Linked DNA regions of Nothobranchius furzeri. Each later gene encodes a partner of the first gene's protein in a complex. Links are inferred from orthologs where the notes say so. Each region holds a gene or a part of one and is shown in the gene's direction. Other genes may lie near its edges. The genes, in order: dhx16, crnkl1, ppil2, cwc22 and rbmx2.

Region 1 (4,665 bases):
TGGAAAATTTTCCTGCTGTGTTTCTCCTGCAGGCTTACGAAGAAGCTCAGAAGCGTCTGAAGATGGCTGAAGATGGTCAGAAGAACATGGTTGGTGCTCGTGTCCCGATCTCCTCCAGCTGCCGAGTTCACGGTGACTGTGTGACTTTTCTGCTTGCAGCTGCCAGAGTTGAGGAAACAATCTCGTCGGGAATATTTGAAGAAGAGGGAGGCTGAGAAGCTGGAAGACCTGGAGGCTGAGATCCGAGACGAGGAGTACCTATTCTCCGCGGATGAACGGACTGAGAGGGAGAAGAAGGATCTGGAACACAAACGCACCGTCTGGGAGTTGGCTAAAGATTACAAGAAGGCCGGTGCCAAGGAGCAGGAGGAGAGGAAGAACAGATACTACATGCCAAAGGAAGTTAGGAGGAAGGTAAGAACGAGGAGTGTACTGGGACAACGGGAAAAAACCAAACTGATTCCAGTTAAATGACCTCCTCCCGCTTGTGTCTGCTGAGCAGGAAGTTCCTCAGAAGGAGCTGGAGCTGGAGGAAACTCCGATGGAGCTGGGAGGAGAGCAGGGCCTCTGGGAGGAGGAGAGAATGAAGACAGCTACCCTCAGCTTCGGAGCCAAGAGAGAGCGAGAGCAGGGCATGAAGCAGGAGCAGGAGAGGTACCAGCTGGTCCTGGAGGAGGAGGAGATGATCGACTTCGTCAGCACAGCCATCACCATGAAGGGAACTCGGACCGAACAGGTGTGGGTGACTCAGCACCAACCTTTAGTTGTATGTGGCTCCGTTTGACTCTGATGTCGTCTTTGACCCAGAATGAGGCAAAGTAGTCGTCATAAACCCACAATCGGTTTAAAACGGCCTTTTTTCTTGAGGTTGTTTCATTAAAACGTTAAACTGTGAACTTTACCACGACACTTGGTCTGGGGACACTTCATTAGTAGAATCTCATAAACGTCCACTGTTTCTGGGCTGCAGCTGGCAGGAATCTGATTAGTTGAGACTTATTTTTGTCACTAGAGGCTTGAGACGTGTCTTGGACACGGAGAAGGGACTTGTGGATGTCTCTGATCTTGGGTTTTTCCACCAGAGGGCAGAAGACCTGAAGATCTAAAAACACGTGTGTCAGGAAGTGGCTGTTCAGTTAAAGTCCCATTAGTCGTCACACACTGGTGAATTTACATCTCTGCATTTGACTGGTCCCTGTGGGGCGCGGTGAGATGCAGCGGTGGCTGCCCATGGGAACTATTTGGTGATTTACGGTTCTTGTTTAAGCCCCACCCCCCTTTATTGAAACACATGAAGTGTTTTCCCTTAAGTGAAAACTGGGATCAAGGCACCTGCCCCGTGATGTCATGCTGATTGCGTTCAGGTGGGAATTCCCGACCCACATCCCATCTGGTTCCACAAACACAGCCCCGGTAGGTCTGCCTCGGCTCTGCTGGATGCAGAATGAAAACAGACTTCATTTAGGTTTTATTGGACTCTAAACACAAAAATCTGTTTTGGCATCAGATGAGATCAAAACATGATGCCATTTCCTGTTTCTGTTTGCGGTTTCTCTCTCAGGGACACGTCTCTGAGGGTTTTTATTTTTAATCCAGCCGCTTTAGTGCTTCACGCGTTCTGATGGTAAAGCTGAGCAGAAAACCAACATGTTTGTGTCTTTGTGGCAGAAACCTCTTATTTCTCAGAGCCAGATCAAATATAAACAGCAGGAAAACACAAAGTTCTGCACGTTTATGTGCACGTTTTATTTCAAAGCCACCATCATTTGATTGAATGAACTGAAAAATGAATATCTGGTCCGGTTGGCTGAGCCGTCCTTTCAAAGACTCGGCAGGAACACTTCCTGGATGGTTTGTGCTGTGTTCAGGATCAGGACGCGCCGGAGCTGTCTCAGGCGGAGCTAAAGAAGCGGTCCATCCAGGAGGTGCGGCGCAGCCTCCCCATCTTCCCCTACAGAGACGACCTGCTGGCTGCCATCCATGAGCACCAGGTCCTGGTTATCGAGGGGGAGACGGGCTCCGGAAAGACCACCCAGATCCCTCAGTACCTGCTGGAGGACGTGAGTGCTAAGATGTGTTCTGCTGAATAAAATGGACTTAAAATCGAGTCAAATAAAATGTTTTACTGACTAAAAACAATTTTAAGGATGTTTCCGCTCTCATTGGACATTTTACACATCATGTTTAAAATTTTCAGCTTTATTAATTAAAGAATTCTTTTTTGGGAGATAGTTCACGGCTACTAAATAGTCAGTGCTGCTAGCTTACCGTTAGCTTTACCCCAGCGTCTTTAAATAGAAACTTAACATACATCAACAAACATAATCAACATATTGATGACTTTCAAGGTTCTGTTTGTCCCACCTGGAGATGGGCAGATAGACCTGCAGCCATCCGTCAGACCCGATAACGTACCGTATTCCCGTTTCTCAGGGCTACACCAAAGGAGGGATGAAGATTGGCTGCACTCAGCCTCGGAGGGTGGCGGCCATGTCAGTGGCAGCCAGAGTGGCAGAGGAGATGAGTGTGAAGCTCGGTAATGAGGTGAGTTTGCTGTGATGAAGATGTCCCCGCGTCTGATTTACTGTTTTAATCTGGAGCTTGTTGTCCTCGCCCAGGTGGGCTACAGCATCCGCTTTGAGGACTGCACGTCGGAGCGGACGGTGCTGAAGTACATGACCGACGGCATGCTGCTCCGAGAGTTTCTCACAGAACCCGACCTGGCCAGCTACAGGTATTACAGGCCATTTAAAACCCTGACCTCTGACCCTAGATTAAGGGACTACACAGTGCATGGTGGAGCAGCTGGTCCCATCAAGAGGTTGCTGGATTAACCCTCCCAATGTCCTAATGGGTGTGACCCCGCGAGGAAAGTTGACCATTGAGCAGGATCGATGGTTTATCCCTTGAGGTCCACGTGGCAGGGGTGAGGTGGTGCTCACTCCTCACCCCTGCCACATGGACCCAACGAATAAACCATCAACCCTGCTCAATGGTCAACTTTCCTTGCAGGGTCACACCCATTAGGACAGTGGGAGGGTTAAATCCAAGCTGCAGCCGTACTTTGTGGAGCTGGGATCTTTGCTTCTGCTAAATAAGGAACATAAACATAAAATGTGCTCTGTAAGTGTTGACTTGTTAGCTAAATGATGTATTTAGACCTAAACAAGCGGAGCACATCAGCATCACAAACCATAATAGGCTAGGCAAGGCAAGGCACCTTTATTTATATAGCACATTTCAAACACAGGGGCAATTCAATGTGTTTTACAATTATCATTAAATGGCACAGCAACAACAAACAGGAGAAGACAAATAACATAATTTAGAGCTAAAAGGAACAGACAGAATTAAGGTTGAGCAATTACATCACAGATTACAGTGGAGACGATGCAGCATAACAAACAAGTCATTCAAAGGCTGATGAGTACATGAGGGTTTTCAGTTTTGACGTAAACAATACTAGAGTTGGGGCAGATCTGAGGTCATGGGGGAGCTGATTCCATATGTGAGCAGCATAGTAGCTAAAAGCATCTTCATCCTGTCTGGTTCTGACCCGAGGTTCTACCAGCTGATTGTTTCCTTAGGATCTCAGAGCCCTATTGGGTGTATATACAGGAATGAGATCTGACATGTATTTTGGTCCCATGCCATTGAGTGATTTATTAACTAGTAGGAGCACTTTGAAATCTATTCTGTAGTTTACTGGTAACCAGTGTAGGGATCTAAGAGCGGGAGTGATGTGCTCTGTTCTCTTGGTTCTTGTTAAGACTCTAGCAGCAGCATTCTGAACAAGCTGCAGTTGCTTCACAGCTTTTTTGGGAAGACCAGTTAGGAGACCATTGCAATAGTCCAGCCGACTAGAAATAAAAGCATGAATAAGTTTCTCTAAGTCTGGTCTGGACATGAGACCTCTTGGTAGTTGATGAAGGTGATAAAACGCTGATTTAGGCAAAGACTGAACCGGTTAGTCCCACACAATTTGCGAGCCTGTCGAGGAGTACGTTGTGGTTCACTGTGTCAAAGGCTGCACTGAGGTCGAGCATCATCAGGACAGATGCTTTACCTGTGTCAGTGTTGAGACGAATGTAATTTAATACCTTGATCAGTGCAGTCTCAGTACTGTGGTGCTGTCTAAAACCTGACTGAAAACCATCCATAATATTACTTGACTCCAGAAAATTTTTTAGTTGGATCATTGCTCCTTTTACATAATTTTCCCGATCAGAGGGAGATTAGACATCAGTCGGTAGTTGCTCATCACTGAGGGATCTAGTTTCCTCTTCTTTAGAAGGGGTTTAACAGCAGCAGTTTTCAGTGGTTTAAGAAAAATTCTTGACATTAAAGAGCAGTTAACAAGAGGTTAATGAATCCCAGTCTTCAAGTCCCATCATCATCAATCTGGTCTGAATTTTCAGCTCAAACAGGAGAAGTGAACAAAGGTTCGTTTCTCAGATCGTCTCATGACAACTTCAGGTTTTTACTCTGATTACAAGCTGAAGCTAACAAAACAGCCGCCTCAGCATAAATTAGCCTCCAGCCCAAGTTTAGATTAGACATGGACCGATACCGCTGCCTGCATCAGGTCGGATGTCATCTTTTCTCTTCTGAAAAACGCCCCTGTCAGGTGCAGCAGAGCAGCGATCTCATCCAGGTGGAGGTAGG
Region 2 (3,719 bases), on another chromosome or scaffold:
GTTTACCAGGCTTGTCTGGAGCTGATCCCTCACAAGAAGGTCTTTAGAACTTCACCATGATGTAACCCCCCACCACCACCAGGCTGTGACGTGCTTTCTCTTCTCTTTCAGTTCACATTTGCTAAGATGTGGCTGCTTCATGCTCAGTTTGAAATCCGACAAAAGAATCTTCAGAACTCCAGAAAGATCATGGTGAGCTTTGGCGCTGCACTCTTGTAAAACCAAACCACACAACCTTAAGCCTGATTTATACTTCTGCGTTGCCCCAACCCTCTTACCTGGCCGACCTGCGTTTCTACACACCCACTCGTGCCCAACGTTCAGCTGAGCAGCTGCTGCTGATTGTTCCAAAGGTTCCCTATAAATGTTTAAAGAGCAAGTCACCCCCAAATCAACTTTTTTTTTCTGATAAACTATACAAATGCGTGTCTAATCGTGCTGCAGACACGTGTAGTCAATAGTTTAGCACTTTAGTGCATTTTAGTTAAAATTTAAATTTTCTGCCTAAAACTGTCAGTGTTGTGCCGTTGTCAGGTAAAAACTCTGCTCTGTAGTTGAATTTAAATCTGCCATCGCTATTGGCTAAGAGGTACCCTAGAATGTTAGCTGGTACCATATGATGTCACAATGTCGTTGTGAGCCTGTGTGTGTGCGTATTTGTTAGCGGCTCCGCCCTCTCAGTCTGCTAGGCAACAGCATTTAATGCATTTTTCAAACAGGAAGTGGGAGTGGAGTAATACTCTGGTAGGGGGTGTCTTGCTCTTTAAATAAATATAATATAAGGTCCGAAAATATGAACGTTATTCACCCGTGAGTGAAGGAGTACAAAATACAGAGCAAGCGTGGCCTGAAACCACGGGAAACGTGGGTGTTGAGGTTAGGGACACATTAGTCCGTGTTAGTAAATACACTATAGGGGACGGGGTCATGGTGGCAGGATACCACAGAACAGCGCTACGCCCTCTGTTGGCCTGGCGTGGAATCGCTCTCCAACACTCCGCTGCCTGAGCAGAAAGTCGAATGTGAAAACCTTTCCGACACTCCGTGTGCATCTCTCCGTTGTGGAGCTCACAGAGAAGTATCAATCAGGCTAAACCCCCCACCCCCATGCAGGGCACGGCCATCGGGAAATGTCCCAAGAACAAGTTGTTTAAGGGGTACATCGAGTTGGAGCTGCAGCTGCGAGAGTTTGATCGCTGCAGGAAGCTCTACGAGAAGTACCTGGAGTTCACCCCAGAGAACTGCACCACCTGGATCAAGTTTGCAGAACTGGAGACGATTCTGGGAGACATGGATCGAGCTCGGGCCATCTTCGAGCTTGCCATTGGACAGCCACGACTGGACATGCCTGAGGTTTGGACTGCTTAGTTTTATGCTGCAGAACAAACGGGACTCAGACCTCTGACCCTGTTCTCTTCTCAGGTTCTGTGGAAGTCCTACATCGACTTTGAGATCGAGCAGGAGGAGTTTGAGAACACCAGGAACCTTTACAGGAGGCTCTTGCAGCGCACTCAGCATGTCAAGGTGAGACTGGGTCTAACCAGATACCGGTTCGAACTCCCAAGGCCACGCTGACCCAGTTCTGCTCCTGCAGGTTTGGATCAGTTTTGCCAAGTTTGAGCTGTCCATTGATGAACCCACGCGGCTGCTGAAGTGTCGCCAGATCTACGAGGAGGCCAACAAGAGCATGAGGAGCTGTGAGGAGAAAGAGGAGCGGCTGATGTTGCTGGAGTCCTGGAGAGACTTTGAGAAGGAGTTTGGGTCCGACAGCACCAGGGACCGGGTCAGGAAGCTGCTGCCTGAGAAGGTGAAGAAGAGGAGGAAGCTGACAGCTGAAGACGGGGTAAGGAATACTTTCATCTGAGCGTGGTGGTCGGTTCAAAACCCTGTTGTGGTCCAATGGTTAGTGGTGAAGCCCCAGCCGTTACCTTTAATTATTCATGGTCCAGATGTTCTCAGCTGATCAGGTGTTTCTGTTCCCATCAGTCCGACGCAGGCTGGGAAGAATACTATGACTACATCTTCCCAGAAGATGCTGCCAACCAGCCCAACCTCAAGCTGCTCGCTATGGCCAAGATGTGGAAGAGGCAGCAGGTGAGGGACGATGGAGACAAGTCTTCAGCAGGTGAGGAGGAACAATCTTCCTCTCACCAACCTGCAACTCCTGAAAAGCAGCCGGAGGATGAGAGCATCCAAATGGAGACGGAGCAGCAGAACACACACGGTGACCGATCCGACGGGAGCAGCCAGGAGGAGAAGGAGGAGGAGGAGAGAGAGGGCAGCCGGCGCAACAAGGAGGAGAAAGACCAGAGTCCTCCTTGAGAAACTTCACCTTGGTTTTCCTTCAGTTAAAGAACTAAAATAGCTCATTTGTCTCACACACACACACACACACTTTTATATTTTTCGGAAATGTTCATTGAAAATTTACAGGAAATAAAAACATGAAGCCACGTGTTTTCTATAATCAGTCTCTGGGTGTGACGAGTAACCAGGAAGTGATGATGGTGAGGGTCAGCTGTTATTCGATGTCTTCTGGTCTGACCGGATGAGGCAGTGGGATGATGGACTTCTTCTCTGTGTCTCGGGACAGAGCTTTCCTCATGTCTGCAGGAAGAAACAGTTGGTCAGAGATATGTACACGCACGCACGCGCACACACACACACACACACCATAGGCGTCTTCATCGGGCTCCCCGTTGCTGGCCGAGTAATACTCAATCACAGTCCTGTAGACGCTGTAACCCAGACGCTTGTACATGTTCACTGCCACCTGGTTGGACACTCGCACAAACAGGTCCACGAAGAACCCTCCCTTCCTGCAGGACAAGGACACGTGTCTCATCAGGTCTCTGAGGGACGTCTGCTCTTCCGTCTGATTGCCAGCACAAACCTCTCTGAGATCTCCTCCAGCATCTCCATGAGTTTGGCAGCGAGGCCGAGCCGTCTGAAGTCTGGAGCCACCGACAGCGCCGTGACGTGGCCATGCCACTCCTCCCGGGCTACAGATCCCTCCGCCTTCCCCATAACTGGTGACAGGAACAATCAGATAAGCTGTAGCAGCGATGACGTCATCAACTCACTGAGAAAACTGAAGAACTCACTGTAGCCCATCAGCTCGCCACCCGGAGCCTCAGCCACAATGAAATACTCTGGCCAGTGAGCCAGGTACTGCAGGTAGAACGGGATCCCATACTGGAGGTCAAAGGTTAAAGAAAAACAAGCAAGGAAACAGCTGAACCTAAGCATGAATTAGCCGTTCTCATGGGTTCGTTCTGCTGAGTCAGGATACGGTTTCCGTCAGAGGATCCAAGTTTCTGATGAACAAAACATTTTATTACATGTTTGTGCGGGAAAGCAAGAGGAAACACGTCACACCTGTTAACGTTATTGTCTTCTATAGCTACATTATTAATAATAAATCAACCAACGGGACGTAAGCCGGAGCACGCGCTCACTCCGCCGGTAAAACAAAGGACACAACAATAATATAGACACCTGAGCCCAGACTGAGCAGGTACTATCACACACTTACATGTTGTTGAATTTAAACAGGTCATCGCAGGTAAACGAGCGCAGCGTCGTCATCTTGACCCCAAACCGGAAAGAGAGGAGGTAACTTAAAAAGACATAACACCCACCATCGCCTCCTGCTGGTGTGGATGCCAAAGAGTCCTCATTTAAAACAGATTCTGGGTTATGTAGTCCATAATCAGGAG
Region 3 (4,665 bases), on another chromosome or scaffold:
CCCCCAAGGCGCTTCACAACACAATCAGTCACACACCCATTCACACGCTGGTGGGGATGAGCTACGATGTAGCCACAGCCGCCCTGGGGCGCTCTGACAGAGGAGAGAATGCCGAGCGCGGGCGCCACCGGTCCCTCCGACCACCACCAGCTGGCAAGGCAGGTTAAGTGCCTTGCCCATGGACACAACAGCAGAATTCTCTGGCAGGAGATGTGATCGAACCCACAACCTTCTGATTACTGGACAACCTGCTGTACCTCCTTAGCCACTGTATTAAAAATACGAGTGAAGGACCTCAACAACAAAAGCAAAAGTTGTTTTTTGCAGCCTCGAGATTCTCGTTAACCAGAGAAACTTAAAAACGGGACGATTGCTGCCGAAGCTCGTCAGATTTGAATTCAATTAAAAATGAAAAGACCTGTTAGTTATTAGTGTGACCTTTGCTCCCTGCGTTTGACCCATCCCCTGGGGGAGCGGTGAGCTGCAGACAGCTGCACCCGGGAGCCATTTGGTGGTTTGACCCCCCCAGTCCAACCCATTAACGCGGGGTATCAAGCAGGCAGGCAGGCGTTGGGTTCCTTTTGGTTTTTTTAGTCTTTGGTATGACCCCACCAGGATTTGAACCCCAATCTCCCGGTCTCAGGGCGGACACGCTACCACTAGGCCACTGAGAAGGTATTCGTGTTGTTCTTCAGACCGGTGAACAAAAGTTTTAGATACTTTATGATTTCCAGAGAAGACGAACATTTATCTGACCGAACTGAGACTGATTATCCCTGCTTTCTCTTTTATTTCTGTATCGTGTTCCAGGAAAGTATCACTGTCCTGTTCTCTACAACGTCTTCACAAATAATTCCCACATTGTTGCCAACAAGGTGACTGGAAATGTGTTTTCCTATGAGGTCAGTAAACTTTAACGATAGTCAAACACAAACAGTTCTCCCTTAAACATGTACAGATGTTACGTCCTATTCAAACCCTAAAGGTTAGCGTTTTTACAGAAATGTTGAACATTTTCAAATATTTTTAAATAACTTGAAGAAACTGGTAGGAATCCATAAACCTTCCATATAAACAAATAATAAATTAGAGATGATGTGATGTTCCTGGTTTGGTTTCCTCAGGCCGTCGAGCAACTAAACATCAAAACCAAGAGTTTCAAAGATCTGCTGACAGATGAACCCTTCACAAGAAAGGACATCATCACACTCCAGGTTAGTCGTTTCTTTTGCAGCGCCTCGATCTCGCTGCCACTGAAGTTGGTTTTGTTTTCCCCGGGAAGAACGCAGGGATTTCCCTCGAGCTTTATGGCATTTACACACTAGCATCGGCTCCACTCCGCCTGGACCGGGTTGGGAGTGTTCTCATTTGGATTTTCTCACCGGACGTCTTTTTAGCCCTCTTCCTGAGGCGGTCTGCCTGGAGCCAAACTGGTCCAACACGCTACCTGCTGACTGGCTGGCTCAAAGTCACGCGTACTTTTAGGGGGAGCCTCCGATTGGCAGATAGAATCAGCTTGCAGGGGCTTCCCGTCGGCACAATTCATTGACTACGTTTACATGCAGCCTATATCCGGGTTATGATCGGGTTAAGGTCGGTATTCGGGTTTCTGAGTTGATCAGAATAACCCGTTTACAAGCATAAATAAAAAGAGTTACCTCTAACTTACATAACCCGATTTTAATGCGGACGTTGGGGTAGCGTCAGGACGTATGGACTACGTCCAGACGCAATATGCCTCATTTCCGGTTCTTCTCGTTCCGGTATCCGTGAAAACAACAACATGTTTCCCAGTTCGGAAGAGATAGCGACCGCATTTGTTTGCGCTTTAGTTTCTTTGTCACTCCAAAAGTGTGGTGCTGTGCCGTGACTCGCCATTTTGCTCCCAACTTGTTGTTTACTTCCGGAGTTCTCGCGCATACAAGACGTCTCGCTACTCAAAAGACCAAGATTCCTTGCGAACAGAGCATGCGCAGAACACACGCTTTGATGGGGATATCCCGATATGCGTTTACACGACCAAACACTCGGGTTAGAAAAGGGTTACCCCAGGTGTAGTAATCGGGTTTTTAAAAACCCGGTTATGAGCATATCCGGGTTTCTGGCGGTGTTTACATGGACCTGCGGAACCGGGTTATTGTGAATATTCGGGTTTTAAAAGGGTTACTGGCTGCATGTAAACGCACTCAGTATCATTCTGGATGCTGTGGTGTTAACGAGCCTCTGACTGAAGCCATTTTACTTTGTCTCTCACTGCTGTGAGGAACACACACACACACACACACAGCAAAGCAAAGCAGGATGCTGAGTCTCCAAAAGCAAGACTGCTCGGGCTGCTTTTGCTTAATAATGAAGACCCCGTGGAGTGGACCTCTGTGCTCTTTTGTCCCGCCCACGTGCTCGGAGATCCGATCATGACATCACAGGCCACAGACCGCCCATGTGCTGCTCAGTTACATCGCTAAGGCAGTGGGGGACGAATGTGGCCAGGCTGGGGTGGGCGGAGCAGAGTGGAGCTGATGCTAGCGTGTAAGTGGCATTAGAGGACCTTGTGTGACCAAGTATGGTTAATCGAGTGCGTTTCTGTATGTAAACGACATTCAGGCTAACATCCTGAATTTGGAAATATGACAGTTTCTAGTAAGGTTTGATAAATGAGGCGCTGGAGCGGCGGGATCCAGACCCGAGACTCCTGGATGGGGAGGAGCGGGGCAGTGATGACACAACTAAGCTCTACCCAGGCTTTTGCTGAAGCTTAGCAGAGTTTTCCAGAGCTGAAGGAAAGAAGCAGCTGAGACAGGAAAATAACTGCTTTACGTTGCTTTTCATCAGGAAATAATAAAACACGGTCAAAAGCTCCAAAGACTGGAGTTCGCACGATGCAGGCCCTTAAAAACATCTGCTTTCTGTTTTTAAAGGACCCCACAAACCTGGATAAATTCAACGTGTCAAACTTCTTCCATGTGAAGAACAACCTGAAAATGTCAGATGCAGGTAATTTTTACTTTGAGATCGGAGTCAAATTTCTGGTTTGTTGTGAGTAAAATACTTCTTTCCTTTATCTGCTGCCGTTTAGACGAGGAGAAGGCGAGGCAGGATCCAGCGTATCACCTGAAGACTACCAACCTGGAAACCAGGGAGACCTTGGCTGAGCTTTACAAAGACTACAAGGGGGATCAGCTCTTGGCTTCCACCATGAAGGAGCCAGAAGCCAAGAAGACCGACAAAATAAATGCTGTAGGTCAAATCTTAAAGCAGAACAACTCTGCTTCAAAAGCTCAAAGTCGGACACAAGAGGGCGCCAAACTGTGAGTTATGGTGGAGGGAAAAGGAAAAGAGTAATGGGAGATTCTGTTCATTTAAAGAAAAAACAAGAATGAAAAGTGAACAGTTGTGTTCTCAGATATGATGACTCAGATTAAAGTCACAGCTGCTGGTTTGGTTCTGGTTAGGGTTGTTGTTGCGTCGTGGTAAATGATTAACTACTAACTACTAAACCAGACTACAGCTACCAACATGTTAGCCAGACTGTCTCCTTTTCCTTCAGTATTCAAATAAACATTCAGAGTGGAACGTATTCAATGTGCCGTCCTGTTGGACTTGATCCACCCCGGTACCAAAGGCAAATGTGTGCTACATAACTCATCTGATGACTGGGAGACGAGTGGCCTGTGACCCGTTTTATGGATTAGTAAAGTCAGTTTCCACAAAAGACCATCCACTGCTTTTCCCGACTGCACCTTTTCTTTTCTAAGCCCATTTCTGATTCACTCTCCGTGCAGCTAGCAGGGTTTCTGTGCAGGTTACAATAGGAGAATAGAAAAGTAAACGGCGTTCCTCCCACTACTAAACCCAAACCAAAAACAGGGTTTCAGTCAGTAGAAGTAGGAAACATTGTTGTGCAGAGGTCATAAAAGAGGTCAAAGAGCTGACGGTGGGTGTTTTAGAGGTCACATCATATCTCATGTGTGGATGAGCTTTAACCTTTCGTACTCGCCATTTATTAGTATTGAAGAGGGCAAAAAGCCGACCTGAAAGCCATGTTTGTGTTTGCCCCCCCAGGCCCACTACTCAACAGGAAGAGTTTCTGCCTCCTTCACATCTACGGCTATGACTCCTGCAACGACACACGAAGCAGGCGAGTCTACATCTCACACAGATAGATCCTCTGCAGCAAAAACAAGCCTTCATCTCTCCTTAATCTGGTTGCGTTAATCTCTGTGCTGAGAGGCCTGGTTAGTCGTGTGTGAGCTTTCTTCGTGCTCGCAGAGCCGGTAATGTTGTCACCCTGTCAGAGAGCGGACCGCTGCAGCGAGAGGGAGTCGCTGTTATGCAACACTAGTAGGTTCAGACTTCAGAGGAGGACAGCGTTTGAATCTGGTGGCCTACTTCAGTGTTCTTAATGCGGCTGGGGCGTGTTTGGTAATCCAAGAACAGATAAGAGGTCTAAAAAGTATTTGAAATAAAAAGTTTAGCATAAATGTTCTGGAATAACAGACGTGTGGCTCCAGTCCTGGTTCTCCAGGGTCACGATCGGCACGTTCGGTGTCCCCTGCATGGTGGCACAGTTGGCAGAACTGTTGCCTAGCAGCAACGTGGTTGCGGGTTTGAATCCCAGTTACAGCCTTCCTCCGGTTTCCTCCCACAGAACGAAAACATGCATGT
Region 4 (5,379 bases), on another chromosome or scaffold:
CATTTTTCAATAGGGATTACTATTCTATCGTCTATTTTGGACAGTGTCTTATATACTTTAGACAGTAGTTTGGGGGGTTTGGGATTATAGAAGTCTTATACCCTTGGTGGTGTTTGCAATTCTATTTTATTGAGCTTAAATGTTTGTTTTACTACAGATTTAATTTGGTGGTATTCTAAAAAGCTATTCTTATTCCAAATTGGGAGACTGAAAAAAATTAACGTCGTCAGGATATTCTAATTTTATGACCAGCACCTGTAAATCGTAAATCTGCACGTTACACGTAGTGCCTGTAATTATTTGTTCAGCACATTTCATACTCCGAGGCAATTCAATGTGCCTTCCGTTTGTGAGAATAGCACGGACATTAAAATAATGTGACAGCACAAAATTAAATACAAAAATTAATTTAGATCTAATTAAATAAACAAATCAATTTCAGATTTAAGAATCAGAAAAAGTTTAAGTTCAATCTGTGTGCAGAATATAGTATCTATGGTGTGGGTGGATGAGGATTAACTTCATTTGGTGTGGAATTAGGCCAATGTATCCTTTCCTATGGCTGGTCAGCCCACAGCTGTTGTCGATCTGATGTCAGGGTTGACATCCAGACTAATTCCACACATCTTCATTTGAAGAGATTCAGACTTGGCTGTAGGCCTCAGCATGGCACAGTTAGTGTAAGATAGTGTCATTAAACCACTCTACATCAGTGGGGATAGCATGAAGAGAGTGCTATGCTTCCAATTTCTGGAAGCACTAATGATGGAGGACATGACTTGGGGTGTCTTTCTAATGGTGCTTTATTGAACCTTGTGTCCTACTGCGCACCATGGAGGACAACAGGAAGAAGGAAGATGAAGAAAGAAGAAACAGGAAGAAGGAAGAAGAAGAATAAGAAGGAAGAAGGAAGAAGAAGAAGAAGAAGAAGAAACAAGAAGAAGGAACAAGAAGAAACAAGAAGAAGAAGAAGAAGGAACAAGAAGAAGAAGAAGGAACAAGAAGAAGGAAGAAGAAGAAGAAGAAGGAAGAAGAAGAAGGAAGAAGGAGGAAGAAGAAGAAGAAGAGGAAGAAGGAAGAAGAAGAAGGAAGAAGGAACAAGAAGAAACAAGAAGAAGGAACAAGAAGAAACAAGAAGAAGGAACAAGAAGAAACAAGAAGAAGAAGAAGAAGGAACAAGAAGAAGAAGAAGAAGGAACAAGAAGACGGAGCAAGAAGGAACAAGAAGAAGCATTCTTCTTCTTTTTTTCTTCTTCTTGTTCTTTCTTTCTATGTGTTCCATCTTGTCACCCTTCTTAAAGTGAATTCCTGAATAGTTGTGAAAATCATTTACAAGCTTGCATTACAATAGCCTAATATATTAATCTTTCATTTTTGCATACAGAACCTGTCAAGTGAGGTCAGATCACCCTGATCCACTGCAAACTACTTGTGTTATGAAGAAGGATGTCTGATTATTAAAAGAAAGAAGACCCTTCTCCATGTTAGACAGAACATGACTGATGTAATGTGTCATGGTGAATTCAGCTCAGTGGCTGGAGTTTAGGACAAAAAGCACAGACAGTTTGAAGATAAGTTTATATATTTGTTTATTTATTTGCCACAATGTAATTAGTTATAAATAAACAAACTTGAACAATGAAAGCTATATTATTTTTTACATCCTAACATGTACCAAGATTCTTCTTCTTATTATTATAATTTAGTTAATGCTTCACAACTTTAAAACATCAAAATAAACTGTGTTCACATGTCTTTTTTCTTTTCTTTCTTTTTTTTCTTTCTTTTTTTATTTTTTTACCTTTTTATATGTATTTTTCTGAGAGGGTGAATTTTCTTGCTTCACCGTAACTGGAAAATTGGCAACAGCTTGCAAAACTTGAAACTTTTATTGTGAAACCCGGAAGTAACCTTTGACCTAACGGATATGGTTTAATGTTTAGACGGTTTCCGCTAGTCGAACTACAGTGATTTAGGAAAGTCGGAAATATCTAAAGAAGATTGGATATTAGTGGCACGGAAGGTACGTTTGGTTAACATCGTTTTGCAGAGTTATTGAAAATCTAAAAATATAAAGGATTAGATGGCAGACTGGCAAATAACAATATAGCGCTAGCGACAGAGCTAGCTTTAGCGCATTAAGACACATGGCGACAACAGAAAATTCCGACTAAAACAAAGTTTATTCACACACAGTTATGGTGTGTTATTATATCGTCTCAGCGTTGTCCTGTTGGACGTATAAATAAACCCGTTGAATGATTTCTTCCTTTCAAGGCCAATAATAGGAGTTGGTTTCTTAGTTGTTTTTGTATCATATCTTTGAATAAGACAACTCCGCTGAAAACTGCAGCGAAAATACGTCTAACATGTTTTTGAAACGGGGTGACAGAATTTATTTCGTTCATGTTGTCCATTTTATGCTTAAGGGTCATTAAATAAAGTTTTTAATCGCTTGTCGCAAAAATATTTTTACTCGTCTTGTTTCAGGTAGCAACGTCATTATCCAAACAACTAGACTTAATAAGACATATAAATAAACGTATATCCATAGAATAAACACTAGCAAATTAAACCAAAATACCAGTTTCTTTTAGTTACTTTTAAGCAGCCTAAAGGTCGATAAAGAATGAATTAATGTCAGTTCGATGGTTTTTAAATCCAGGTTTTCTTTCTGGGAAAAGATGAAATGCTTAGTCACTTAAAAAGTCAAAACGTCATTTATATTGACTGGTCCGTTTTTATTTTCTCTAGTTAATCAACCAGTGCTTGACAAAGAGATTCTTTCCATTTTACATTAACGTTTATATTTGCTAACATTTTTTCCTGTTATCGGAGAATAAGGACCAGTAGGATTTCATATGGCACAAACAACAAAGGAGTTTTTACATTCTGTTTATTAGAAACAAGAAAAGTTTGGATAACAAATTAACAGATTACTCTAATCTTTATTTTAGTAAATGGACTCTTCAGCCAAAAGTGAAAGTCCCAGTCCTGCACATAGAGAACACAAAGGTAACACTCACAGTTTCTTTCTTTATGTTTTTCCAGAAATGACATATTCATCTTCTTTGTCTACAGAGCCATCAGAAGATGAGTCCAATCAAGCAGCAGCGATACCCCAACAGGCCGGTGTGGCAGAGAGAAACCCCGAAAAGCGATCCTCTCCTCAGTCCGGTCCCACAGGCTCTAAGAGTCCTGCCCCCTGCAGCTCCGACAGCAGAAACAGTGAGGATGAGGAGGAACATCAAGATGCACTGCAGAAGATTAGGAGCAGTGTGGCTCAGATAAATGTAAGAATCAAGCCCTGCTCTTTTTGTGTTTTCAATTATTACGCTCTTTAATTCTGCTTTGTAAACTAAAGCAGAAAAACTAAATAACTCACTAAAAAGATATTTCAGAAGTCCAGTAGGACTTTATTTTTCTTGTCTCATGTTTTCATTTTCTTCTGTCTTCAGGTTTCAGATCATTTTTACATGCGATGATCAAAATATAACATCCTTAAAATCCTTTTTTTTTTCTTTCCAGACATCCAGATCCAAAGAGAAGGACAAATCTTCATCCAGGGAAAAAGACAGATCTCATTCTAGAGAACGGGACAGGTCCCGGTCCAGAGAGAGGGACAGGTCCCGGTCCAGAGAGAGGGACAGGTCCCGGTCCAGAGAGCGAGACAGGTCCCGGTCCAGAGAGAGAGACAGGTCCCGGTCCAGAGAAAGAGTCAGAGCTCGATCCAGAGGACGAGACAGATCCAGGTCAAGAGAGAGAGACCGAAACACGGAACGCTTTGATAGAAGACGTTTTGGTCGGTAAGAAGTTTCTCAGGACGTGTCATTAACACCATGCCTACATCTACCTACCAACTTTCATATTTACTAGAGAAGATTCACTAAATTTGAGTAGGATCTGGCTGCAGACATCAGCTGGCGTGCCACCGAAAGAACTTTCTAGCGAGAACAAGATGGCGTGTCATTACTTTTACCGGAAAATCGACGATCGAAAGACCTCGGCCGGAAGTTGGTCTTTTTTGGCGGCCGCTTTTGTTTCAACCATACTCGGCTGGTTTCATAGAGGTAAGGTAAGGATGAAATTAACTAATTGTTGCAACCGTTCTTAGTTCTTAAATGTAGGCACTATAGCATTTAAAGCTTTACCAGAGAATTATTGCAAAGGGCACCGTGTTTCATAGCTAATTGTATCAATATTAACACGCAGTCTTAAAACGAATGCAGGGAGTTCACAAGCTAACACAAAAGCTACATAAATAAAGCTATCAGCAATTGTAGCTTAGCTTTAACTTAGCTATTTGATTTTTCTCGTCTCCCTGTTTGTTAAAACAGTTAAAGTAATAATATAAACTTTATATATAATTTAGATATGATATAAAGACCACGATTTCTAATACTGACTTGACTGAAACGTTATTAATACCCTTTTTTAATTAAAAAGCGTAGATTTTCAGAGATTTGTAAGTGGTTTCAATCACTAGTTTTCATACGAGGCTAAAGTTAGCTTCCGATTCGGGAAATGGCTAAAGGGCTAATACACCCAATTTTTCTCTACTCAGACCATTTTTATTCTGCTCTAGCTCAAAAACTGCAACACATACGTTCTTCAAACCTGTTTTAGATTATTCTGGGCTCGTAGTAGCAGAATGCATAAAACATAGTTTGTGATATGTGAAACCTTCCTCTGATTTGTGAAACTTCAGAAAAGACAGATTTATGAATTTATTTTTCAGCATCTGGCTCACACTGGAACTGGTCCTGTGCACCCAAAAATATTTTTTTCTGTACAAGCTTAGCTTTCAATATCTCTAAATATTTTTAAGTTATTGCGTGCGGTATTGTGCTGGGTCATTCTACTGTGGTTGCACAAATCAGGTGTCCTGCAACAGATACAATAACTTTGAAATAGTAGCCGCTTCCCTCCCTCCTTCTGATTCTGTTTCAGAATAATCCTAACCTTATAAAAAAAAGATATTTTTGTCCACTGACTGCTTTGATCGGGTATGGTTTATATTAATATTACCGGATTTAAGCACATTTAGCTGCAAATCATTCAGGAGTTAGAGGCCTTAAATATATATCTAAAATGAATATCGGACTTCTTCAAGTGACACTGTCAAAACTTCTTACATGTGCTTGTATTCTTCTTTTGCTAATAAGATGTATTTTTATCTAAATTACAGGACAATCGAGGCTTTGAAAAATGGAACCCAGGCAGTGATTTCAGATGGTGAAATCAAGGTAATGTTTAATTATAATAAATGAAGACTCTAAAATTGGACATAGGATAATGCAATCCCTTGTTTTCTGTGGTAATGTTGCTTATTTTTAACTCTTGTCTTTACTCAGACTTTGTATAAGGATCTCTGCAGCG
Region 5 (5,202 bases), on another chromosome or scaffold:
GAAATAACTTCTGGGTCACTCCTGTTTACTGGCTTTGCTTAGTTAAACAACTCTGAAGCTGTTGTTGAATTACTGCCAGCACTGTAGCGTTAGCTCAGGGCAGACATGGCAACCTCACAGAGAGTAAACAGTAACTACATCCCTCTTTAGTTTTTTTAAAAGGAGAAATCTGAGTCCCCCAGCCAGCTGTTTCCGGTCATCCTTCCTTCCAACATGACTGGGACACTGAGACACTTTTGGGATGGTTTCACTGTAGGATTCTTACAAATAGCTACTTTCAGCACAGCCAGGTGAGAGAGTGGACCTTTTAGATATAAGGCGGGACTTGTGACACCCTGAGGGTCAGAGGCTCCTGATGGGGTGTAGCACCCCCATGGTTAAAGACTCACCAGAACCTCATCCAGCAGCTCGTAGATCAAAGCGAAGTTCTCCTGGATGGACTTCTCAGAGAGTCTGCCACAGTAATCCCTGACCAGCGCCATCAGCCTGAAACATGGACCGGTTCTGTTCAGTCAAGATGTTTATCAGCTGACATCTAGGTGACCAGCAGGCAGCTCCATCTGAAGGTTCTGTTTAGAACCAGAACAAACCTGTTGAGGAACTCGATGATGGTGAACGGTGAGGAGTCGGCTGTCGTCGTGGCGACCCAGTAAAGGCCTTCATGTCTGACATGTACAAAGTGCAGGTCTCTGTCGCTCTGCGGGACACAGAATCAGGTTTGTTTTACTTTTGACTCTCGAATCATCTGCATGGTTTCAGTCCAGTTCCTCAGACAGTAAACAGACGCCGAAACATCGTTGCTTCATCCTGATGTGACTTCTAATCTAGTGGTTCTGGTTTGACCTACTCTTCGTGTTTGGGTCAAATCAGAACTCAAAACAACACAACAGTTTGGGTCTAAATGTGTCCCAGACTGTGGAGGCGTTACCGTGACGACCAGAGGTTGGTCTCCAGTCAGCGCTGTGACCTTCTCATAGAAGATGTTGACCACATCGTTTCCTCTTTGGCCTCGGTCTGATTGTTGGCTTGGGTTAAGCTCTAACTCCTGATAGGGTAAAGTCTCACGGGACTGGAAGCAAAAGGATACAGTCCTTGTAGATGAGATGGTCCCCCTTGGAGGACAGGATGAAGACCTGAGAGATCATCCTCCTGAAAGGAAGATCACAAGCACAAGATTAATGATAATGATAACTAATATTTATATGGAATATCACACCTTATTGATCATTTAATAAAAGTGACCACTTCCGTCACGTTACAACATGTTTATCAGAGTTGGAATAAAGCCAAATCCTATCTAATTTATTGTATTATAAGTGTTAACAGCACTGTTGTGTACTGGTGAGAACCTGCAGATAAAACTACAGAAGTTCCGCTAACGGAAAGGTGGATCTGTGAGGGGTTACAGCTGCTGTACTCGCCTGCGGAAGGTGTGGGGTCTACCTGGAAGAACCAGATCTTACTGCGGCTATTTTTAACAGAACTTCAAAGGAAATGAAAGCACGGCTGGTGCTGCTTTGGCTAGCAGTAAGCTATAGATAAACTTTAATAACTCACAGGGCCGCAGTTTTCAGAAACGCTGAATACAACCAGATAAGCTCATTGTCTGCAGGGTTACAAAGCTAACCTGACAGAAAGGTTTTGGGTTTATATTCAGGTTATAGCTACGGTTTACGACACGGCTCCGTTAGCATGTAGCCCCACAGCGCTCCCTTGTGGACAGGAGGTTGAATGAGGATTGCATTAATAACTTTATATTTATTAACTTCACGATGAGTGAACTCATAGCTACGTAAGAAATTGCTTCAGATACATCAACCTAGATGGTTTGGGTGTGTTATATAAACCCGAGAGAAATAATCTGCACATGTTTAATGATCGCTTGTAGTTTAGATCTCCAAACTGCAGAGGGCAGCAGAGACGAACCAAACGGAAGTGGTCTACCTCAACAAATAAAACGTCTGATCTGTGCCCTAATTTCTGTAACTAACTATGAAGTAAGTACATTTATGTATTCATAAATGACACGAACCACCGACACAACACTGTTCTACTTCTTGTCGTGTAGTTAAAGTAAAAAGAGCGAGTTCGTTATTCTGCGGTTTGATGACTGATCCTGGTGCAGCATGCTAGCTGTTAGCTAGCTCCTACTCGTAGCCGATCGGATTCTGCTCAAAAAACAGATAATTTAACATTTTTTCCTTAAAAACCAGAGAGAGCATGTAATAAAACATAAACACCCAGTTGTGTTTGGGATGTAGCATGTATCTTTGATGCTTCAAGAAGACATTTGATCATGTGTAGGTTGGCTATTGTTTTGTTTACACCCCTGACCTTCTACTACGTGTTTTATTCTAGACCAGTGTGTCTGATAAAGTTGACTAATAATTTATGTCAACTGCTGATGAAGACAGGACCACAAGCTTGGTCATATGTGGTGTTATCTTTTTCTCATGAATGTTTCTACGTCTGCTGCAAAAAAAAAGATCATTCGACTAATAAAACACACCACTCCGATCGTATTTACCCCGGAAGTCAAAGGGGACACATTTACATGTATATCCAGCCATTGTCTGAACCCGCATATCCTCACAGGGTTCTGGGGGGCTGGTGCCTATCTCCAGCAGTCTCTGGGCATGCAGGCGGGGTACATCCTGGATGGGTTGCCAGTCCATCGTCCATCGTAGGGCAGCCCAGAGGCACACAGGACAAACAACCATGCACAGCCACCTAAGGATGATTTAGGCAGACCAATCAACCTGACAGTCGTGTTTTTGGACTGTGGGAGGAAGCCGGAGTACCCGGAGAGAACCCACGCATGCACAGGGAGAACATGCAAGCTCTATGCAGAAAGACGGGCTGGGATGTAAACCCAGGACCTCCTTGCTGCAAGGCAACAGCCCTCAGAATTAAAATGTCAAATTTAAATCAAGCCAACAAGTGAAACGGAGCAGCTCGACCAGGAACACCGTGGTCCTGCTGGAGGAACAGGATTATGCCTGCTGCTGCTGAAGGGTCATTAGGGTCAGGCTCAAGGTTGGGGTTGAATAGAAAAGCTCGACTCTTTTTCTCTGTAGTCCAAACAAAAAGCAGTTTTTCTTTCTAAATTGTCCTGACAGCTTTTCACAATAAAACTCCAATTGAGTCAGAATCAGGTCCAGTCCCTAACGGGACGATTTACTGAGCAACTTGTGTGTTTTCAGTCCTCTAACGAAGGTGAAGCTGATTAACGAGCTGAATGAGCGCGAGGCTGACCTCGGCATCAGCGAGACCGTCTCCTGGCACACAGAGTACCGGGACAGTGCCTGGATCTTCATCGGTGAGAACTCCTCAAACCCAGCCCTTCACACGTGGAGACGTTGGGATGAGTTTGGTGTTTTGGGCTTTTGGAGACGATTTGCTTCTGTTCATTAACAACATAAAAAGGGATCTCATGAATGAAACTGTTGAAGTGGGTTTGTTTGGTTCTGATGATGCTTACGAGGTCTCGTTTCCTGCAGGAGGGTTCCCCTTCGAGCTGACTGAAGGAGACCTGATCTGTGTCTTCTCCCAGTACGTACATGCTTACGTCTCACCTGCTTTACGTTATAGCTGACATGACAGTGACGTTTGTCTCCTCTCGACAAACCTGCCAGGTACGGAGAGATCGTCAACATCAACCTGGTGAGAGACAAGAAGACGGGGAAGTCTAAAGGGTTCTGCTTCATCTGCTATGAGGACCAGAGGAGCACCATCCTGGCAGTGGACAACTTCAATGGCATAAAGGTGACTTCCTGTCCTCACCAGGTCCTGGTGTGGACCCAGCGCCGCTCCTTGCTGGCCCACAGCGGCATCAACATGGTCTCTGATGAGACAATTAGCTAAAATCTTTTTGTTGTTGTTTAAACGTTCAGATTAAAGGTCGAACTATCCGCGTGGATCACGTTAAAAATTATCGTCCTCCCAAAGACAACGAGGACATGGACGATGTGACCAAACATCTCAGAGAAGAGGGCTGTGCTCCCAAAGGTCCTACTGTTGTCCCCTCTTCCTCTGAGGAAGAAGAGCAGTGCGTCGTACCTGCGAAGAAGCCCAAAAAAGGTGAGGTCACTTCCTGTTACCTGAAAGTCACCTGATCTAGGACCAGGTGGACTTATTTCCCTTTTCTGTCTCAGATAAGAAAGAGAAGAAGAAGAAAAAAAAGAAAGAGAAGAGGAAGAAGAGCAGAGCTCCCTCTTCATCACCTTCTCCTCCTCCTGCAGTCTTCAGACTGAAAGAGGAGAAGCAAGACGCCGCCTACGACAAGTACAACCACAAGGAGGTGCCTGCAGGGCAGAGGACGAGGGACACGGAGAGAGGAAAGGGGACAGACAGGAATGAAGACAAGTGGAGGAACTGTGAGAGAGAGGTGGACAGAGACAAGGACAGAAGAGACGACTATAGGAGACAAGAGATGGACAGAGACAAAAGACGAAGAGAGAGGGAGTGGGACGAAGACAGAAGAAAAGACGGAGACAACAGGAAACGGGAGCCGTATAGAAAATAGACAGGTTGTGATTGGCCGATCCATGGTGTGTGTGTGTGTGTTTTAATGTTTCGTATTAAAATCTGACCTGAACACCTGATACACTTCATGTCTGATGTCCAACACCTGAGGACGGGTGAGACTTTTACAAAGCAACACGTTGGCGAACTCGTGAAGCATTTCGGCGCATTCCCCAAACTGTCTGCTGCCACCTAGTGGACATCAGCGTAATCGCAGGCAGACCGACGTCAGGGCCCGCTCTGAAGTTTCCGCGTGCGTTCTCCGTGATGTTGACGTCCTGTTATTAATGTTTGAAGGTTCAGTTGAACAAATGCGACATGTAACCTGCGGAAAACCAAAGGAACGATGTGAGAATCGTTTAGAAACTAAATTATGATGGGTCAAGCGGAAACTGAGCGCAACGGGATGAAAAAGGAAAGGAACGGCATAAAAAGAACAAACTGATCCTCACGGACCACCTTCCGTTTCCTCTCAGGTGCCATGATGGAATAATGTTTCTACTGCTGGGCAGAAACCCTTCTGCTGACAGACGGAGACACTCCTCCATGACGGAGACACTCCTCCATGTAAAGCGGGACTGCACACCATCAGAAAACGTAACTCCACCCCTAGTCAAGTGTTGAAAAATGCCATGAAAGTGGGCGTTGTCATGAGGCACAGAGGGGCATGGACAAGTG

Evidence for each region.
Region 2: dhx16 (region 1) and crnkl1 share a complex: the UniProt entries of both Homo sapiens proteins name them as parts of the minor spliceosome. The link is inferred for Nothobranchius furzeri from reciprocal best matches to the Homo sapiens genes DHX16 and CRNKL1.
Region 3: dhx16 (region 1) and ppil2 share a complex: the UniProt entries of both Homo sapiens proteins name them as parts of the minor spliceosome. The link is inferred for Nothobranchius furzeri from reciprocal best matches to the Homo sapiens genes DHX16 and PPIL2.
Region 4: dhx16 (region 1) and cwc22 share a complex: the UniProt entries of both Homo sapiens proteins name them as parts of the minor spliceosome. The link is inferred for Nothobranchius furzeri from reciprocal best matches to the Homo sapiens genes DHX16 and CWC22.
Region 5: dhx16 (region 1) and rbmx2 share a complex: the UniProt entries of both Homo sapiens proteins name them as parts of the minor spliceosome. The link is inferred for Nothobranchius furzeri from reciprocal best matches to the Homo sapiens genes DHX16 and RBMX2.

The regions. Positions count from the first base shown.
Region 1 is NC_091745.1:60,406,901-60,411,565, forward strand, and holds part of dhx16 (pre-mRNA-splicing factor ATP-dependent RNA helicase DHX16), read left to right. Parts: intron 1-32; coding exon 33-89; intron 90-159; coding exon 160-414; intron 415-502; coding exon 503-736; intron 737-1,868; coding exon 1,869-2,060; intron 2,061-2,433; coding exon 2,434-2,544; intron 2,545-2,618; coding exon 2,619-2,734; intron 2,735-4,665. UniProt on the Homo sapiens protein: Required for pre-mRNA splicing as a component of the spliceosome. Contributes to pre-mRNA splicing after spliceosome formation and prior to the first transesterification reaction.
Region 2 is NC_091742.1:17,429,782-17,433,500, reverse strand, and holds the end of crnkl1 (crooked neck-like protein 1), read left to right. Parts: coding exon 1-39; intron 40-111; coding exon 112-192; intron 193-1,113; coding exon 1,114-1,353; intron 1,354-1,422; coding exon 1,423-1,524; intron 1,525-1,594; coding exon 1,595-1,843; intron 1,844-1,986; coding exon 1,987-2,322; 3' UTR 2,323-2,453; downstream 2,454-3,719. Other genes in the region: naa20 (N-alpha-acetyltransferase 20), read right to left, coding at 2,522-2,607, 2,674-2,819, 2,894-3,029, 3,105-3,195, 3,293-3,317, 3,536-3,588. UniProt on the Homo sapiens protein: Involved in pre-mRNA splicing process. As a component of the minor spliceosome, involved in the splicing of U12-type introns in pre-mRNAs.
Region 3 is NC_091750.1:38,466,171-38,470,835, forward strand, and holds part of ppil2 (RING-type E3 ubiquitin-protein ligase PPIL2), read left to right. Parts: intron 1-810; coding exon 811-902; intron 903-1,124; coding exon 1,125-1,214; intron 1,215-2,918; coding exon 2,919-2,994; intron 2,995-3,076; coding exon 3,077-3,237; intron 3,238-4,062; coding exon 4,063-4,138; intron 4,139-4,665. UniProt on the Homo sapiens protein: Has a ubiquitin-protein ligase activity acting as an E3 ubiquitin protein ligase or as an ubiquitin-ubiquitin ligase promoting elongation of ubiquitin chains on substrates.
Region 4 is NC_091754.1:30,021,683-30,027,061, forward strand, and holds the start of cwc22 (pre-mRNA-splicing factor CWC22 homolog), read left to right. Parts: upstream 1-1,903; 5' UTR 1,904-2,023; intron 2,024-2,957; 5' UTR 2,958-2,960; coding exon 2,961-3,015; intron 3,016-3,081; coding exon 3,082-3,293; intron 3,294-3,528; coding exon 3,529-3,806; intron 3,807-5,379. UniProt on the Homo sapiens protein: Required for pre-mRNA splicing as component of the spliceosome. As a component of the minor spliceosome, involved in the splicing of U12-type introns in pre-mRNAs. Promotes exon-junction complex (EJC) assembly.
Region 5 is NC_091750.1:26,772,181-26,777,382, reverse strand, and holds rbmx2 (RNA-binding motif protein, X-linked 2), read left to right. Parts: upstream 1-1,886; 5' UTR 1,887-1,992; coding exon 1,993-1,997; intron 1,998-3,203; coding exon 3,204-3,319; intron 3,320-3,500; coding exon 3,501-3,552; intron 3,553-3,635; coding exon 3,636-3,765; intron 3,766-3,893; coding exon 3,894-4,080; intron 4,081-4,154; coding exon 4,155-4,525; 3' UTR 4,526-4,604; downstream 4,605-5,202. Other genes in the region: ap4m1 (AP-4 complex subunit mu-1), read right to left, coding at 390-486, 591-697, 929-1,014, 1,088-1,149. UniProt on the Homo sapiens protein: Involved in pre-mRNA splicing as component of the activated spliceosome. As a component of the minor spliceosome, involved in the splicing of U12-type introns in pre-mRNAs.